4 linked regions of the Schizosaccharomyces pombe genome follow. The protein of the gene in region 4 purifies or fractionates together with the protein of the main gene of each other region. This does not show direct contact. Each region holds a gene or a part of one and is shown on either strand. Other genes may lie near its edges.

Evidence for each region.
Region 1: the proteins of wdr74 (region 4) and ppp1 purify together in Schizosaccharomyces pombe (affinity purification with western blotting, with the first as the bait; one study listed by BioGRID). This does not show direct contact.
Region 2: the proteins of wdr74 (region 4) and ytm1 purify together in Schizosaccharomyces pombe (affinity purification with western blotting, with the first as the bait; one study listed by BioGRID). This does not show direct contact.
Region 3: the proteins of wdr74 (region 4) and rix7 purify together in Schizosaccharomyces pombe (affinity purification with western blotting, with the first as the bait; one study listed by BioGRID). This does not show direct contact.

The regions. Positions count from the first base shown.
Region 1 is NC_003423.3:3,710,860-3,715,257, forward strand, and holds ppp1 (pescadillo-family ribosome biogenesis protein), read right to left. Parts: upstream 2,799-4,398; 5' UTR 2,761-2,798; coding exon 2,739-2,760; intron 2,727-2,738; exon of another isoform or gene 2,701-2,726; coding exon 2,533-2,700; exon of another isoform or gene 2,379-2,532; coding exon 745-2,378; 3' UTR 560-744; downstream 1-559. Other genes in the region: hom3 (aspartate kinase), read left to right, coding at 1-343; nucleolar protein Dnt1, read right to left, coding at 4,341-4,398. UniProt on the Schizosaccharomyces pombe protein: Component of the NOP7 complex, which is required for maturation of the 25S and 5.8S ribosomal RNAs and formation of the 60S ribosome.
Region 2 is NC_003424.3:5,006,515-5,010,863, reverse strand, and holds ytm1 (ribosome biogenesis protein Ytm1), read left to right. Parts: upstream 1-1,985; 5' UTR 1,986-2,006; coding exon 2,007-2,157; exon of another isoform or gene 2,158-2,265; intron 2,266-2,438; exon of another isoform or gene 2,439-2,519; coding exon 2,520-3,691; 3' UTR 3,692-3,848; downstream 3,849-4,349. Other genes in the region: pxr1 (PINX1 family ribosome biogenesis protein), read right to left, coding at 203-1,057; serine/threonine protein kinase Ppk16, read right to left, coding at 3,893-4,349. UniProt on the Schizosaccharomyces pombe protein: Component of the NOP7 complex, which is required for maturation of the 25S and 5.8S ribosomal RNAs and formation of the 60S ribosome.
Region 3 is NC_003423.3:1,931,288-1,936,153, forward strand, and holds rix7 (AAA family ATPase Rix7), read right to left. Parts: upstream 3,216-4,866; 5' UTR 3,115-3,215; coding exon 2,800-3,114; exon of another isoform or gene 2,739-2,799; coding exon 2,573-2,738; exon of another isoform or gene 2,514-2,572; coding exon 2,085-2,513; exon of another isoform or gene 2,042-2,084; coding exon 612-2,041; 3' UTR 523-611; downstream 1-522. Other genes in the region: erp5 (COPII-coated vesicle-associated protein Erp5/Erp6), read right to left, coding at 1-37; HECT-type ubiquitin-protein ligase Pub3, read right to left, coding at 4,490-4,866.
Region 4 is NC_003423.3:1,534,814-1,539,117, forward strand, and holds wdr74 (ribosome biogenesis protein wdr74), read left to right. Parts: upstream 1-2,009; 5' UTR 2,010-2,085; coding exon 2,086-2,125; exon of another isoform or gene 2,126-2,174; coding exon 2,175-2,293; exon of another isoform or gene 2,294-2,369; intron 2,370-2,453; coding exon 2,454-2,993; intron 2,994-3,054; coding exon 3,055-3,152; intron 3,153-3,274; coding exon 3,275-3,641; 3' UTR 3,642-3,754; downstream 3,755-4,304. Other genes in the region: DNA replication factor C complex subunit Rfc5, read right to left, coding at 1-651, 794-986, 1,048-1,242; SPOM_SPBC83.16C (uncharacterized protein), read right to left, coding at 3,988-4,304. UniProt on the Schizosaccharomyces pombe protein: Involved in the biogenesis of the 60S ribosomal subunit.

The sequences.
Region 1 (4,398 bases), 2.2 Mb from region 4:
GTCTGATGACGGTAATATGCATGAGGCATTCGTTGAATTGCGTCGATTGGGAACGCTTGATATTCTCCATGGTTTAGCTATTCTATCTCTTGTTGGTAAGCACATGAGAAACACTACCGGTTACGCTGGTCGTATGTTTTGCAAACTTGCTGAAGCCCAAATCAACATTGAGATGATTAGTCAAGGTGCTAGTGAAATCAACATTTCATGCGTTATTGACGAGAAAATGGCTGTAAAGGCTCTTAACGTTATTCATAAAGAATTGCTTGAACCCTTAGCTTTACATGAAGTTCCGTCACAGGCCTCGATGTTGGTTGAAAAGCCTTGGCTTTACAGTGCTTAAACGTACTGTAACCTTGAAAGTCAATTTAAAAAATAAAAAAAAAGTGTTGTCTTGCCTTCATTTTTTTGTTCTTTTTGTCTTTAAATATTTTACATTCTCTATTTTAAAATTACCGTGAGTTTTATTTTACTCATTATTATTATTTGTACGTTTATAAATAAATATTGACTACATAAAATTAATATTTTATAATATATCTCAAAAATTGATATTCATCTTCTTTATCTCCCAGTCGAAAAAATGTTAAGCAAAAGTGTATTTATTATATAAAAACGATCAGCTTCAATTAAATTGAACACGAACCTAATCCATGGATACAGTAAAATACAATGAACTCATTTTAAGAAACAAAAAGTAAATGACCCAAAATAATCTATTACTATGATTACTGTTTATTAAACCTAGTTTTCAACCTTTAATTTTTTCCTCTTTTCAATATCCCTCTTCCGATTGCGAAGCGCATTGTTGTAGTTTTCGTTTTTGCTATTTTCGTTTTTCAACTTACTGTAAAGCTTTCTCTGTTTATTACTCATCATCATTTTGGATAACTCCTTTGCCTCTTTTTCTTCTTTTTCTTCTGCAGTCAAAGTATCACGTTGACGCTTCTTAGTCTTTTTCGCGGACTTAGAATTCTGTTTAACATATTCAGAATAAGCGACACCGCCTGCTTCTGCCTCCAGCTCTCGTTGATGTTCTAAGTCTTCCTCTTCAGCGTCATCAATTTGTTCAACATTTTCAGGCTCGTCATTCTTCTTACTTATGGGCACTGCTTCGCCAGAAATATTATCATCAAGAGCTTCGGAAACATCGTCGTTCTCTTCAGCAGAAAGTTCAGCTTCAGGATCGTAGTCATTTTCACCTACTTTAACAAATGGACTAAGATGAGGAGGGAGCGTAGCGCCACAGGCATACAAGTCTGTCCTTTCCAAGATTCCTTTGTTGATAGAGTCGTATACCCATTGTGGTTGAATATATATCCTACCTTCGTACTTCTGTGAAATATGAGGACGATCACATATATGATGAGTAATCACAGGATCAGATTCTGAAAATGGAGAACCTGATCCGAGAATTGGATCCCATCCAACTTTACCACCAAAGGCACGAATCACAAATTCCAGAGAAAAACGGGGGACTTCACGAGAAAGGAAAAAAGTAAAATTAGAAAACAACGAGGTATTAGATGATGAAATATGTGATACTAGGCTTTTGGAATCCTCATTATCTGCACCATCAGCTGGTTTAAACTCATCTAAGTTTTCCTCCGTTTCAGGTTCCTCATCAGCATCCTCAGTAGTTTTTTCCGACTGCTCAACGACGTTCGCATCACTATTCACAATATCTCTTATTTTACTTTTTAAAGTAGCAATATTCTTACGAGCATTTTTGTTATTACCATGGACGATAGCGGGTAAGGAAGAAGACTCCTCTAACTCATAAGCTGCTAAACCAGCGGCAGATTCGCTTTTAGCAACATCAATCTTAGGGGGATAACGAAGTCCCAAGGTATTATATAACTTGAAATTTACAAACCCCATAAGTGCTTGATAAAATTCCAAAAAAGTGTGCATGATACGAAAATCAACATCGGTAGGAACAGATTGAGCAAATTTGTAGGGAACAATCCAGGTGATTTGCTCACCAAAAATCTCGGCCTGATAATAAATTCCTTTAATAGAGAGGAAAGCTTTACGAAGGGAATTTGACCGAATTACATAGTGTTGAAATTCAGCACATAATCTTTCACAATTAGCGACAGTAGCGGCACCAATCTTGTCGGTAACAGGCATAGTTGAAAATAAGAACAGCATACTAAGAGCATCATCAATATCTTTCAAGGCATCATGGAAGGTTGGGTAACGCTCTTTAATGATATGATCCAAAGAATAAGTGGGTTTTCTGGCCTCTAAACGTTTAGCAGTTTCTAATTCCCCTTTTCCCAATGCTTTGCTAAGCTTGCGAGCGAACACTTTGTACTCGCGAAACTTCTGTACAATAGGCTCATGTAACAAATACTGGATATCCTTAGTATAATCTATTATATTTATTAGTACATAATTTCATTCTTTTAGTTCATCAAAAAAAGACTAGCCCATGATAAAATTGACCATTCGGAAAATGCTTTTTATACCAAACGTCCATGTTCAGATAGCTATGATTCCGGTAAAAATTGATGCTATTAGACTTACAGAAAGTGACTGGAGCAGTGGAGCCTTTATTTGCTTTTTTCTTATTTTTTGGCTCACGAGGATAAACACCCTTTAAAATACAAATACGACGAAAATCAGCAAGAGTGAGCTGAAGCTTCTTAAGCGCTTGATTTCTCGTAATGTAGATACGAGCTGCACCTGCTTTCCCTGTTTTCAATTAGAAAATTTTTTTACAAGCTACATACCTTTCTGTTTTACCCTCGCCATTTCTTCAATTTGATGGCTTTTTGCAGAAAGAGGGTGTTGGAAGAATTTTGCAAAATCCAAAATCCTTCATACAGACTAGCTTAGCTCTCTGCACTGCGTAAATGGTGTTAGATGGTAGTATTATCTCACAGCGCTAAATTTTCTTATACTATTTTACGTTAAATTTCGCTATATTTGTGTTTTTCCGTACTTTTGAGATAAATCTTTGCGGCAAGGGACTAATTGATTTTTGATAAGTTTGTAAAGGTCTTGTAATTTAAAATAACTATCAAAACTTCTACAATTACTCCAAGTGAATCAATGTTCGACGATTTAGTTGTTAGCTACTCAAGTAAGTTATAATCTTAAGCAATACAGTAGTGATATATTAAAGTATTTATGTTTATTACATTTTACGGTAAATAAACAAATCTTCAGGTACGCAGCTAGGCATCTGTTTTAACGACAGGTAGAGTTGCGATGAGTCTTCCTTGTGATTTATTAAATTATATAGTACGCATATGATATATATAGCAATTTGTAATAGATATTCTTATATTCAGGTTACGTCGTTTTCTGTCACTAAAATATTATTATATGAGCCTCGCTCCTCAGTTCAGTTGTAGCTTCCATTTATCATTTTTATAATAATTTATATCAACGGTTTTTGTGTTAAATAGATAGACGGGTATACGCAGTTATTAATAATCTGATTTCACTTCAACTTATGGCATACAAAGTTACTCAACGTTGAATAACATAGCATAGTGTATCAGCGCTGAGATTTATGAGACCGTATGTATATGTTTGTGTAAAGGGAAAATTCACCCAATTTATCGTATTGCTAAAGCACTTTATAGTAAGAGTGTGATAAGTTTCTTTTCGATCATCTTACTTTTATAGAGCTATTATTTTACTACAAATAAATAAGTTCGTTCACTTTGCATAATATCAACTATACGCAGTTAGTTTGCCCGGATCAAGAAATTCATGTTTAGCTGGTCTTCGTTATAAACATACTAAAGAATAGAAAGATTTTACTAATATCAGTTTTTGTTAACACTATTGAACCATTATGAGTAATGTCGAGGGTAAAGTAATTACTATACAACAAATAATGGCATTTTTTGTGAATTTAGGTACTGCCTATAATAATATAAATACTAAAGCTCGTGAAAATATTTGAATATTGTAATCTAATTTGTTCTTTTTTTTTACGAATTTTAGTCCGGAAAATTTTACTAATATACTAATTACTGTCATTGTCTGGTCTCCTGTTTCCTACAACTAGCAGTTTTAATTTTACAATCAGTCATCAAAAAAGGATTTGAAATGAAGCAACTTAATGGACATTAAAGAACGTTCCATTTAGAATTTCAACATCTTTTTATCAGCATCAAAGTTAAATCAAGTTTTGCTAGCTAATTAACATGTAATTTTATTAATAAGTCAAAATTATGCAGAAAGCCAAGAAAACTAAATTTATTATATACGCAATATGATAGCACAACAACGCTATTACAGAATTCTTTTGCTATTGGACTTATGATGAAAAAAAAAAAAAAAACGAGCGTAAAGGGAGTTAATCAAAAACAAGAAATTTACACTAGGGCCGCCAAGCCAGCCAAAGCACTGTTTCTTTTGGCTTTCCTCTTTTTC
Region 2 (4,349 bases), on a different chromosome or scaffold from region 4:
TTACAATACGACATAAGTAGCTTTTCGAAATTACAAGCCCGAATCCAGCAATTTCTTCCAAAATCAACTAAATATTACCTTCTATTAAGACATAGATTAAAAAACCGACAAACCCTTCCTCTTAAAGTATTGTATACCCATAACTTCTAAGACTCGTTTATTATATTCCGCAAGTTAGAAAAATAGCAAAAGAAGTCACTTCCTAACCTTTAATACCTAAAATCTCCCTTAAAGCAACTGGGTCGCTTACTGCTGCTCGCTTTTGTGCCAAAAATTTTCTTCTGGTATGGAAATGAATGCTAGCGGGTCGGTTGCCTTCTTTGACCTTCTCGACAGAGGAAGTGGACTCTGGTTTATCCTTTAATTTTATTTTCTTTTTCTTTTTCTCTTCTTTGTCGCTTGAGCCTGATTTTCTCTTTTTTGAAGAACTTTCCTTATCCTTTTTCTTGTGCTCTTTTTTCTTCTTCTTCGTTATTTTTTCCAACTTTTTAGGATCAAGAGCCGAACCAGTAGAGGTCTTTTTCTTACTTTTCTTCTTAGAAGAGTGCTTCTTTCTTTTTTCACGCTTAGCTTCATCGGATGAAGACGCATCTTCACATACACGATCCTCATCCTCCTCTGCTTTTTGCATCCATTCAGAAAATTCACTAGTAAACGTCCCACCCAAAACAAATCGTCTGGATAGCTCAAGTGATTTTAAACCCTTCTCATTCGCACTCTGTCTCTCGTATGTTAGTTGCTGCACCTTTGCTTTCTCAGCATAGACACCATACGCAGACTCATCGCCGTTAAGTCGACCAAAAATAGCGTTGAATTCACCTAAACCGCTCCATTCAAGATCGTTAGTTGCTTTGGCTCCAATTCCCAGTGTATCATCTTTTAGGCTGACCTTGATGTTATGAATGCGACCATGTTGCTTTTCACCCAAGCCATTACCATTCACCCAACCGTAGGAGGATAAAAGCTTAAATCCCAATCTATTTGTATCTTTTGCCCATTTAGAATTCCGAGGATCCACACCAATCTGTTGTTTCTTTTTTACACCAGCCAAACCCATGATGTCCTGTTAATCTTCAATAAAATTTTTTTTTTATCGACGATCAATATGTGAGAGGACAAAAAAGAATGAGAATAAATTATAAGAAGTAATCAATTGTAAGAAATAATTAAAATTGCGAACAGCGCAAAGTAATATACATAAAAATATGTAGCAGCCTGAGTCCTAAAATCCCACCAAATCCTAGAACCGATGAATTCTTTCCCAAAATAAAACCTTTTTCGAGGATAGAATCAATTGAGTCTCCTCTTCTTTTATAAAAATATAAACACACGATAAATCAACGATCTAAACAAAGTCTTCTCGCTAATTGAGAAACTCTCCAAAATTTCTCGAGTATTGCACTCAAATTGGTGAAAAAGGATAAATTGATAGATCTTTATTAAGTTTTAAAAAAGAAAAGTACTGGTTCTTGGAATTTCTTGAAAAGTGGTGGGCTCAAGAAGGGAATATATGCAGTTGGTAAACCGGCTATGTGTTAAAAGCGCTATAGATGCTTTCAAAGGCATAATTGAAATCTTCTTTCAAATAACGTGAAAGCATTCCAAAAAATTACAATGTTATAATGAGCTGTAAATAATACCGGTCAAATCATCATTTAAGTCGTTTTAAAAGAAGTATTTCAAAAGACGTTAAATCTTACAATTCGAGCATACTCTGGAAAAAAATAAGCTTTAAAAAAGTTTATCCTTTTACTTTTAAAGCATACTTTAAATCTTCTAATATTATTTTTGTTATTCTTAGATTTTGTTCAACTGTTACTTTTCTACTCAAAAAAAAAAGCTGAATTAGGACCGCTATCGATGAATACGAATTGGGTTGATTAAACTTGAAAATTCTTAAAAAACAGTCTCGTAACATCTTGATCAATTCAGCCAAAAGTCATTATCCTCATTTTTTTGGTACTGGAAATTTTGATCTTTTCGACACTCCTTCCACCAACAACAGAATGGATGCCCAAAGCGCTCCTTCAGGCCAAGTTCAAGTCCGTTTTACTACTAGAAATGAGGATTTAGCTGTTGGTGACACGCCGATTTTTGTTCCTACATCTTTAAAGCGGTACGGCTTATCTCAAATTGTAAATCATCTTCTAAAAACAGGTATGTTTTCAGTTAACACATACTGGGTCAAAGCAGGAGAAAAGTCGCATAATTCAACCAACTTGAAGAAAATTTGAAGCAATAGAATAGCTGGTCTCATGCAAGGCCCAATTACTATAAAACTGTGTAGAAGCTGAAATTTGTTGGCGAGAATCAAATGGGGGCTTCTCGAATCTAAGAGTTACTCTAGTGTTCTTTTTCACGCCTTTCTTAAAATTTTGTAAAATTCTTGAAGATGCATTACTAAAAGCCCTTTTTTTATTTTTTTGTCTCTTTTACCTTTCATCCTCGTTTTGCTTCATTGCTATACAATTTTGCGATTTTTTAGTTAATTTAATTTATTTCCTTACTAACTTTACTAGAAAAGCCAACACCCTTTGATTTTTTGGTTCAGGGTCAGCTGTTAAAAACTACTCTCGATGAGTACATAGTTCAAAACGGATTGTCTACGGAGTCGATTCTTGATATTGAATATATCCAATCTACATTACCACCTGCATATTTAGCTTCTTTCTCTCATGACGATTGGATTTCTGGTATTCAACTAACCTCAGATACCATTCTTACTTCTTCATACGATGGGATAGCTCGTGTTTGGGATAAAAGTGGTGAAATAAAATTTCAATCAACTGGATGTGGATCATCTTTAAAAAGTGCATCCTGGCATATACCTAATCAAAGTTTTCTCACTGCTTCACTTGATCAAAAAATTTTTCATTGGGTGATCGAAGAGCCAGAATCAATGTTGGATGCTGAAAAGAAAAGCTCCGGTATCCTTCAAACTCTTTTCGTAGGGCACAAGGATATAGTTGAGCGCGTACGATCCTTAGAATCTTCAAGCGTTTTTATTTCTGCTTCTGCGGATAATACTGTCGGAATTTGGGATTTTGAAAGGTCTCCTGAGACTACCCTCGAGTCCTTTTCCTCGTCTATATCTAAAAAGAGACGTCGCAAAAATGCAGAATTCACACCTCAAGCTGGGGCTCGCTCTCCGCTGATCCTTTGTGAGGGGCATACTGGACCGGTGATGGATATCGTCTTTTCTGATGATCCAAGTGTTGCATATTCCGTAGGCCAAGATCACACAATTAAGACTTGGGATCTCATTACTGGGCAAAATGTTGATTCCAAGATAACCAAAGCTCCTCTTTTATGCGTGGAAAAACTTACTGACCTACACTTAGTCATTTGTGGTTCCTCTGCGCGACACATTGTTGTTCACGACCCTCGAGCGGGAAGCGACAAAATTGTGAGTCATACTTTATCCGGCCACAAGAATTTAGTTTCCGGATTATCGGCAAGCCCAGAAAATCCCTATATGTTTGCATCCGTCTCTCACGATAACACTTGTCGTGTTTGGGATGTCCGTGCTACATCCGGCAGTATTTACACAATTTCTAGAGCAGAAAAAACAGGCTCTCAGTGGGATAAACTTTTCGCTGTTGATTGGAATAAATCCATTGGTATTGTTACGGGAGGTACTGACAAACAACTTCAAATCAATCAATCCTCATCCTTTGGAAAAAGCGAATGAAAAAAGATGTAGCATAAAAAAAATTGACAGATTATGATTTAGTGTGGTACAAGCGGGATAAGTTAAGGAACAAGGTCATTACTACTAGAGATTAAAAGTTTGATTAAATTATTTAAGAGAACACTTTATTAAAGCAAAATAAGTTAATAATTCAAATTATACACACCACGTAGCTTAGTAATCGTGTAATAAACTTAAGCTTCAGAGCAAGTCTGTGAAATGTTTTGAAGAGTCTGAAAAACTGGTTTCTTCCGGCTCCTCTTCCTCTTTGACTGAGCTTTGATTAAACATCAGAGAGGAAGATGATTGCGGGTTTTTTCTACCAGAACCAACTGTAAAAATTGCAGTAGCATTTATACGAGTGTTAAATGGCTCTCCGGAAGGAAAATGGAAACTTTTGTGCAATCGTTCAAAAGGAGAATGAAAAGGTGTTTGCCTTTGAACGGTCGAACTGGAAGGTTTAGATGAAATAATAGAAATTAAAGAATTTGAAGATGCAGAAGAGACGTTTGAATAGGATCTAGTACGGGATGAATTCCTCGAAGAAGCAACGGAAGAACGCCCAGACAAGCTGCGTATGGGAGTTCGTGATCGTCGAGTCGGCTGGGGAGATATGACAGTATTTTGCAGAGGAGAAGGTGGAATATCAATATTAATT
Region 3 (4,866 bases), 400 kb from region 4:
AGGTAAAAAGTAATAAACCGAAAATTCCCAGCTTCATCGTCGTTTAAGGAAAGGTGATGGTTAAGGGTGTGTTTGGTTCTGCACACAGCACTGACTACTAGTTTGAAGAAACACTTACGCCAATCAAGCTCAAAGAGTTTTGTTTCAATTTAGTTATCCGTATAAAAATATTCTATTGACTTTATAATATTATTAATTCTATTACCTTAAAAGTGTTCTTTGTTATTGTTAAAGCAAATGTCGGGGTCAAAGTTCGACTTGCACAAGTATTGACACCTTACAAAGAAAATGAGTACATTATTCTTCCTAAACAAACTTTTTGTATAACCAGACAGATAAAAACTTATGCTATACAAAATTAATAGCTGTTGTTTAATCTACTTCTCGAAACAGAAAATGATAAACAAGAAAGTTTTATGAAATTTCCTATACTCCTAGATTCTTACTTATAAATTTACATTGTAGTTTATCAAATACCAAATGAAATATCCATTCATTATGCCACAGTAATCAATATAACCCAAAAACCCAAATATTATTTTTCCCTAACTTCCAAACTACATAGGTCCAATATAACTACAAACCCGAAATCCGTAAACAATAATTTCAATCTAGTCAGCATCATTTGTACTTGCCGAAGACCAACGCTTTGCCAGTCGTTGGTACTTTTGTCGATCGCGATCGGAGACACTTGGCTTGATATTCTTGAATGCTAACTCAAAGTCAGCATTTGTCACACGAATTGGCTCTAATGCTGAATGTTGTGTAATTTCTGGTTCATTTGAAGCAATATCTGCAAAAACGGCTGATCGCAGAGCTGTCACAGCTGCTTCACGCACAAGGGCAGCCAAATCTGCACCCGAAAAATTACTGCATCTTTCATCTCGACCAAGTACATCCAAATTTACCTCTTCGTGTAAGGGCGTCTGTTTTGTCAACGTTTTTAAAATCTCCACCCGTTCATGAGCATCCGGTAAATCAACAAGCAATGTTTTATCTAAACGACCAGGACGCAGCATTGCTGGATCTATAATATCCGGTCGATTGGTAGCAGCAATTACATAAACTCCTGAACGATCGCTAAGACCGTCCAGTTCAGTAAGAAGGGTATTTACAACTCTTGACGAGGCTTCTGACAGTGAGTCATCACGCCTGGGTACCATCGCATCTAATTCATCAAAAAAGATAACACATGGAGAAGATGCACGTGCTCTGAGGAAAACTTGTCGCACTGCACGTTCTGACTCACCAACATACTTATTAAGCAATTCTGGACCACGAATGGATATAAAATTTGCTTTACTTTCATTTGCAACCGCTTTAGCCAACAGAGTTTTACCACATCCAGGAGGACCCCATAGTAAAACGCCTGTAGGTGCACTGATACCAACGCTTTGGTAAAGCTCCGGACGTTTGATGGGCTGAACGATGGCCATTTGTAATTCGACACGAATTGATTTTAGTGCACCAATATTATTCCAAGAAACACCTGGAACGGTAGCAAATCCTTCACGTTTAGACGAAGGTTGAACTTTGGCGAGTGCTTCAATAAAATCTTGTGGACAAATAGCGAGTGGTTCAAGTTCCTCTGGAGATAGTGGATCAGGATGAGCATTCAAATATCTTTGAATTATAGAAGAATGATCAAGGGGTAAGCTGTCGTTTGAATCTAAGGCCATATCACTGTCAAGTTCATTAAATCTGGGATCAGAATTAAGGTCCAATTTGTTCAGCGGAGAAATTTCATTGAAAATCCTTTTTATTGCTATAATGCCGGCAGCAGCAGTGAGTGCTTTTAGGTCGGCACCCACATAACCAGGCGTCTGCTTCGCTAATTGACGGAAGTCAAAATCTCCACTAAGTTTCAAACCCTTTGCCATAGTACGTAAAATTTTCTCGCGAGCGTCTTGACTTGGGACGGTCAAGCATATTTCTCTGTCAAATCTTCCTGCACGGCGTAATGCACTATCTAACGAATCAGGTCTATTAGTAGCACCAATTACCAAGACAGGTTTGCCATCAGTTTTCTCAAAAGAAAGTTCTGAACTGTTAGTAAGCTAGAAAAAACGATATTAAATACATACCGTCCATGCATGTAAGGAATTGAGCGACAATCCTACGTTCCATTTCTCTTTGAGCACTTTCACGTTTGGGAGTAACGGCATCAATTTCATCTATAAACATCAAACAGGGGGCTAACGATTTAGCCTCTTCAAAGACCTCCCTAACTTTTTTTTCAGATTCGCCGGACATCCCAGAAACAATAGAGGGAGCAGATATAGAGATGAAGGGAACACCCAATTCGTTGGCTAATGCGTTGGCTAACATAGTTTTACCACAACCGGGAGGACCATGTAACAGTACACCCCTGGGAGGATGAATTCCAGTATATTGGTATACTTCAGGATGCTTGATCGGCATTGCGACTAGCTCAAGCAATTCGTTAATACAATCATCTAGTCCTCCTATATCACTCAAAGAAATGTCACTTGGTGGTTCTCTATTCGCTTCCGCTTTAAAAAAGTGTTAGTTTATATAAATCACTTTTCCACTAAAATAAATTCTAACAAACCTTTTTGACGCTTTGAACCATTAGTCTTGGATCGACGATCTTTTCTTTTGGCAGATCCAGTAATCGATTCCTGACCAACAGACTTTTTCTCATCTTCTCCATCTATTTCTTTCAAGTTTGGAGAGCTCCAAAGACTAGTGATGCTTTTGTTAATCACATTGGTATCCTGTAAATAATACTTAGTAAAAATGGTTTTCATAAAAATGCAAAAGAGCAGCAAAGCATACCTTAACTTCCATCAAGTTTGAGTCAGATTGTTCTTCCATGTCGCTATCAACAAGTACTAAATCCTGAGAGGAAGCTAATTTTTCCTCCACTTCGGCCTTCAATGTGTCTAAAACTTTTTCGACAACTTTTTCAAGGATTGGCTTCTTAATTCTTCGAAGAGACATGTCCCTTTCTTGAACAAATTGAATAGCCCGACGAGTAGAAACTGGCCACTCTTCAATTTCTGTTTGTTGAATGGTATCTTTCAAAGAAACCAAACGTTCATGAATTTTCCGCTCCAAATCACGACTAAGCGATGTACCAGACCTTCTCATTGTTTTTTCTTTTATATAATAAAAAAAAATCAACAAAATAAAAGGAATTATTAATCAATTCCTGCCTTTCCTATCAACCGAGCAGTATATGTGCTTTCGCCAATGTTTGCAGCCTTCTAGCTGAAGCTTAGTGCAAGGACGAACATATGAGTACTGGGAGTTTCTTATTGCAAATTTCAGTTGAAAGCATTGCATACCACATTTGTTCAGTGGATTTTTAGTAAGTTGTAAATCTTGCTGATAAATTTCTCAATTTCTCTTCAGCTGCCCCCACAATTATGCTTACTTACTCATTCCTACTTGAAATCACTTATATTAGAAATTGACTCTTTACTAGATGATTTACTCATTTTGTTGACCATCAATGCGTAAGAAAGATATATTTGATTAAGTTTTTACGTACTAGCTTAGTATCCCCATTCATATACTATTCATACCTAGTTTTTATACAATTTCAGAATTATGATAATTAAGAAAAACTCCACTTAAGGATATGCGTAAAGAAGCCCGAGAATCTGTCAATCCAGGAGTATGTCAGCAAACACTTCACATTTAGCTGTAGTAGATGATTGAAAATTATACCACATAAAAACGACATAACAATAAATAAAGAAAGATTAAAAGTTGCAGCAGAAAGGACACCTGAACGTAAAGTAATCATTGGCCAAAAAAAGTTTAAATGAAGAAACAGAATAAGCATATCATACCATTAACTTCCGAATGGATCTAAGGTAGCGAATGCATACTCAACCCAATACGTTTTGAATTCGTGTCGCCAATGCTAATAGCTATACAAATCCGATTTTAGCAGATCAACTAATTACAGCAAACGAACGAAATAAGCACCATGTCAAAAACCTCTGAACTGCTGGTTACAAAATATCACCATAAAGCTTCTCGACAAGGCTACAGATACGGGCAGCTAATTTTAAGATAAACCAGTGTTTAAGCAAACATCAACGCTTGACATTTCTTTAGTGAACAGTGGTTTCATGAACCGACGAAACAACGTCCATTCCACTCCCGTCAAAAACGTTTGCTGTCAATTTTTGGACGAACACTTATAACCTTTGGGTAACGAACGTTTATAGTGATGATAGCCAGATATTCTAACGGAAGCATTCGTTGCTTAAAAATTAGTTAGACAATGACTGGAGGCGCGATAAGACACATCGCGTTACTTCATGAGAAGCAAAAACCATCCATAGTTAAAGAAAAGGACACAATAAAAGGTGGTTATACATTGGGAAACCCCATAGCCGTTGATATTGATGAAAGCACATTAAAGCTATAGGTTTCTTACTTTAAAGAAAAAAATTTTTAATTCATACAATAGACTTCGTTGAGTGATTATGAAATTTCAAGATTGTTGTCATTACTCGTTTCCAAACCCTACCGTGTTTTCAACGGCTAGGCTCAATTTTTCATGCAGTGTATCTTTTGAAGGATAATCAGGTAAATCCAAGCGATTGAAACATGTGTGTGCTACTGGAAGTTGATCCGGTGTACCTGCCTTTTCAATAGTAAACTTGCGAGGTCCATCACTTCCTTGCAAATCCCTAAAACCATTGACAGGAATGCGTGATGTGCCTGTAGCGAACTGTAATAACTTTGAACGATCTTCGTTCTTCCAGCCAGCAATAATTTCCCAAAACCACTTGATAACAGGATCGGTAGCAATATAAGTGCGATACTCGGTGTGGCTCTTCCAGTCTTCAACATCAACATCGGATATACCACCAATTAACAATT
Region 4 (4,304 bases):
CATAAACTTTCATAAAATATGCAACAAAAGCCTCTAGGTGAAAAATTGATTTGTTGCCCATCCGAGTCCTATGTTCATAATTCGCTGCAGCTTGAATTAAGTATGGATGCAATTTAGTGTCCACTTTTGAAAGAAAAAAAGACAGAAGTTCCTTCAAAATTGTGGTAGGGGGAATGCAGTGAGAAAGAAGATCATACAGCATTGAGCGAACAGCCAGGATACGTGCAGGGCTTTGTTCTTGAAGCATGGAATCACCGACCTGCTGGATAAATGTTTGCCAATCAGGCAAAGGGAGTTGCGCACCAGTATCGATTAGTTGCTTGTTGCCTGGAGATTTTGCATGAACGGTCTCTAAGAGCAAGATGGCTTTTCTAAGATTCCGATCACAATTATTCGCTATATTATTAAGCAGAGAATCCGGAGCTTCAAGGCCTTGGGCTGTCAAGATTTTAGACATTACCAGGATAATTTCCTCTGGCGTAGGGGCTGCAACACGAACCATTAACGTACGAGATCGAATAGGCTCAATAATTTTCGACGTAGAATTGGCAATTAAGATCAGACGAATGTTATTGGAATATTTTTCCATGGTACGACGAAGAGCCGCTTGAGCGTCTCTAGTTAATTCGTCAGCCACATTGATTACAACGACTAAGGAGCATGTTAGTACGAGCGCAGATAAAAATAAGGAAAAGAATTGAAAGTTCACCAACCAGAATATAACATGAGACACCTAGGAACAAAAAAGAGCACAAAAATTCCATATTGATTTCACTTTACAGTGAAGACATACCTTTAAATATCTTTTTAGCTTGTAAGTCAACTTGTGCAGATTGAGCCACATCTTTTAAAAGCTCCTGCATAATGACTCGGTCGTAATTTCCGACATCGCTGGGCGTAATTTCCAAATGATGAAGACTTGATACAATATTGATCTGTAATTTTTTACTACTAGGAGTCAAGAAAGTTCTTTGATCGATTTTCAACTACATTCATTGTGAGCATGTATATTTAATTAAATGAAAGTCAGACTATGAAGAAACATACCTTCTCTGAGCCAGGTCCATACAATTCTCGTAATATAGCAACCACCCGAGTTTTTTTTCCTGCTCCGCTGGGCCCATACACTAACAAATGGGGAAACTCATTAGTAGACGACAAGGAAATAAGACGTTCTGAGAGTTGTTTGTGATAGTCCAAAGATGCAAGCGTCTTTGGACGGTATTGATCTAACCAAAGCATTTATTCCAAGATTTAAAGGTTGGAACTCGGTTTTTGGTAAAACCCTTCAGTAACGCAAAGGACAAGTGGATGTACTTAATGGAGAAATACAACGTGCATGTCAGTGTATTACACCAAATTGTTAGATGATAAAACTTTTAACTTCTAAACAAACCGAACTGTTTTTCCCATTAAAATAAGCTCTTCAAGATACCTTCCGTTCTCGCTAGTTTACACATATTATGGAAGTTACTGAACATTGTATTTGAGTGGGAAGTATTTTACAACACTTGGTAATTTTATTGTTTATTCAATTCTATTTCGTAGAGCGCTCTAACTTCATTATCGATAAACATTTGAAGCTGTTACATAGTTCAAACTTCTTCTCGTATACTTACTGACCAAACTATGTTTTTCCACCTTGCTTTATTCCTATAAAAAAAATAACTGTTTAAGAAATTATTTAAATCCCATTCATTGATAAGGCAACTTGACACGCTAACGTTGTAAACTTTCAATTAAATGAATCAGCTGCAAAACTCAGTTTCCTTTGACGAGCACTTATTCTATAGAAAATGATATATTACAATTCTTCTTATATTCAAGTACATGTGAGCGATTAGTCCGTTTACAACCTTTTTTTATCGATAAGCTAAATTATCCATTCAATAAATGACATTTCCTAAATTAAATTGACAATTCATTCTTTTTTTTATTTTACCTTGTAAGGTTTTTTAAAATGGTTTTAAAATTTGCCCTTTAAAAGGACACGTTCCTACCTTCGTGGTGAAAGTTTTTCTCATTACCCATTTCAACAACCAAATCGATTCTTGCGATATACGACAAAAGTTGTAGTATTTCAAGATGAAATTGCTTCTTGGTGATGAAATCGGGCAATTAAAATGTAAGAAATCCACTCACAAGTTCGTCGGTACTAATAAAGGTGATTATAGTCATAGAAATAAAAAAAGGTACTGACACCTCAAACCCCGAGTCAGAAGCACCAGTTATTCAGAAATTTGGAGAGTTAGATCGAGAAAAAGGAGTGCTTTTTATGTTGAAGCATGAAATGGTACGGAATTTTTGAGATTTCTGTGATAACGCATTATGAACTAAAAAGAAGCAACTTTATTGACGCTTGTTTCTTCGTTACTATTATCAAATGGATTGCGCGTTACTAGGATATCCTGTGTTTATATTTCGAAAAACACTGATTAACTTGTTAATTTTAGAATGTATTTGTCGCTCGGAAAAATGGTACTATTGAATGTTGGAACGTTAACCAAGAACCACCTATTTTGTCTAGTCTTTGGCAATTGGACAGCTCTTTATTAGAGACTGCTTCCATAGTTTCCATGAAATACTCTAATGGTTGGCTAATGCTTGCTTTAAGTGATGGAAATTTGTTGTTTAGACACATTGAATCTTCGAAGCTTCGAAAACTTCAATTACATGGCCCCCTGTCCGCTGTTGAGTTACATCCAAGAATACCAGGAATAATCGCTGCTGGAGGAAAAGAAAACGATGTTTGTTTGTATTCTTGCAATCCTACGTGCAAATCGAACATTGATGAACTAGAACTTTGGCGAACAGAAAACGTGGTAAAAGTTTTCCAGGGAAAAAATGTAAAAAATGACTCCCTGAATCTTAGAGTGCGCGTGTGGATCACTGGAATTGTGTTCACGGAAGATATTATTAATGTTATTGACGGAAAGTCCGAAGACGATGAAAGTCTGTGCTTCCATTTTGCTACGATTACTCATTATGGTCAGGTAAGCAGTTGATAATATTTTGATTATTCACAGTATTGAACCTTTATTTAACAACAAATAGTTACGCTTTTATGATACGAAACACGGCCGCCGCCCGGTTTCCACATTTGATGTCTCTACTTCACCATTAAGTCATGTTGGTTTGCTTCCTTCAATCAAGTATGTTTTATCGATTTTTTGCAAATCAAAGGCATTATGGTAATAAATAAATTGAATATTTCCAAAGCCATTTAAAGATTTTTTTCTCTTTTCTTTCTAGCACTCATATTGACCAAATTTAGGTTACTTTACTTTGCTGATAAGCGTGCTCAAATCTCAATTTTTGACCATTCAAAGAAAAAAGTCATCGGAAGATTTCAAGGAGTAAAGGGTGCCCCTTCTTCAATTCATTGCCTTGGTAATGTAGTTGCTATTACTGGTTTAGATAGAAACGTCAGGATTTTTGATGCTGATAGAAAACCGCTAGCAAATGCATATATTAAAGCTCTTCCTACCAGTATTATTGTTATTAATGAAAGAGATGCCGAAATAATTAAGAAAGAAGAGGAATTAGAAGCGGCAAAAGAAGAAGAGGAAGAGATTTGGCGAAACATGGAACAGTTAGAAGATACAGAAGATAAAAAGCCTTCGAAGAGGATAAAACTTTGAAGAAATACTGGTCTTGTTGGGTAAAACTATGGATATATATATTGGTAAAGTTTTGTGTTAGATATGGGATCTTAATAAATACTGTTATGGATTACATTATATACAGATTACTTAATTCCAGTCGTATTGTAAATTATATATTGAAAATTGGATTAATGGCAAAAGCTGCAGACGAGAAGCACAAATAAGTTGAAAGATTAAGAACAACAGCTTGTAATTGCAGTCATAATTCGTCTATTTAAAAACATTAAAATATAGTAACTAATTTGATGCATTCATTTTTCGAGAGAAGATTTTTGAAGAAAACAAGTGTTTGAAACCAATTTGTTACGCAAGGAACGAGAACTCATGACATTGATTGAAGACATTTTCGAACAACATGCCTTGCAAGTTGCACACGAATAATCAATCTACTTTCAAATTCGTTGTCTCCACCAAAATCACGAGCTTTTCTCAGATAAGCATCACAATGCTTCAATCCTTCTTTTTTAGAACCATTGCTCTCAAAAAACGCTACCGCCATTTCATAATGAGCAAAAGCAACAGCCCATGTCTCGGTTGTACGAGTAACAGCGCATATTTTTTGAAGGATAGGGAAAACTTCGTCTGTGCGACCCAAGTTACGTAAAACAGTAGCTTTAATCAACGCCTGACAAATATCGT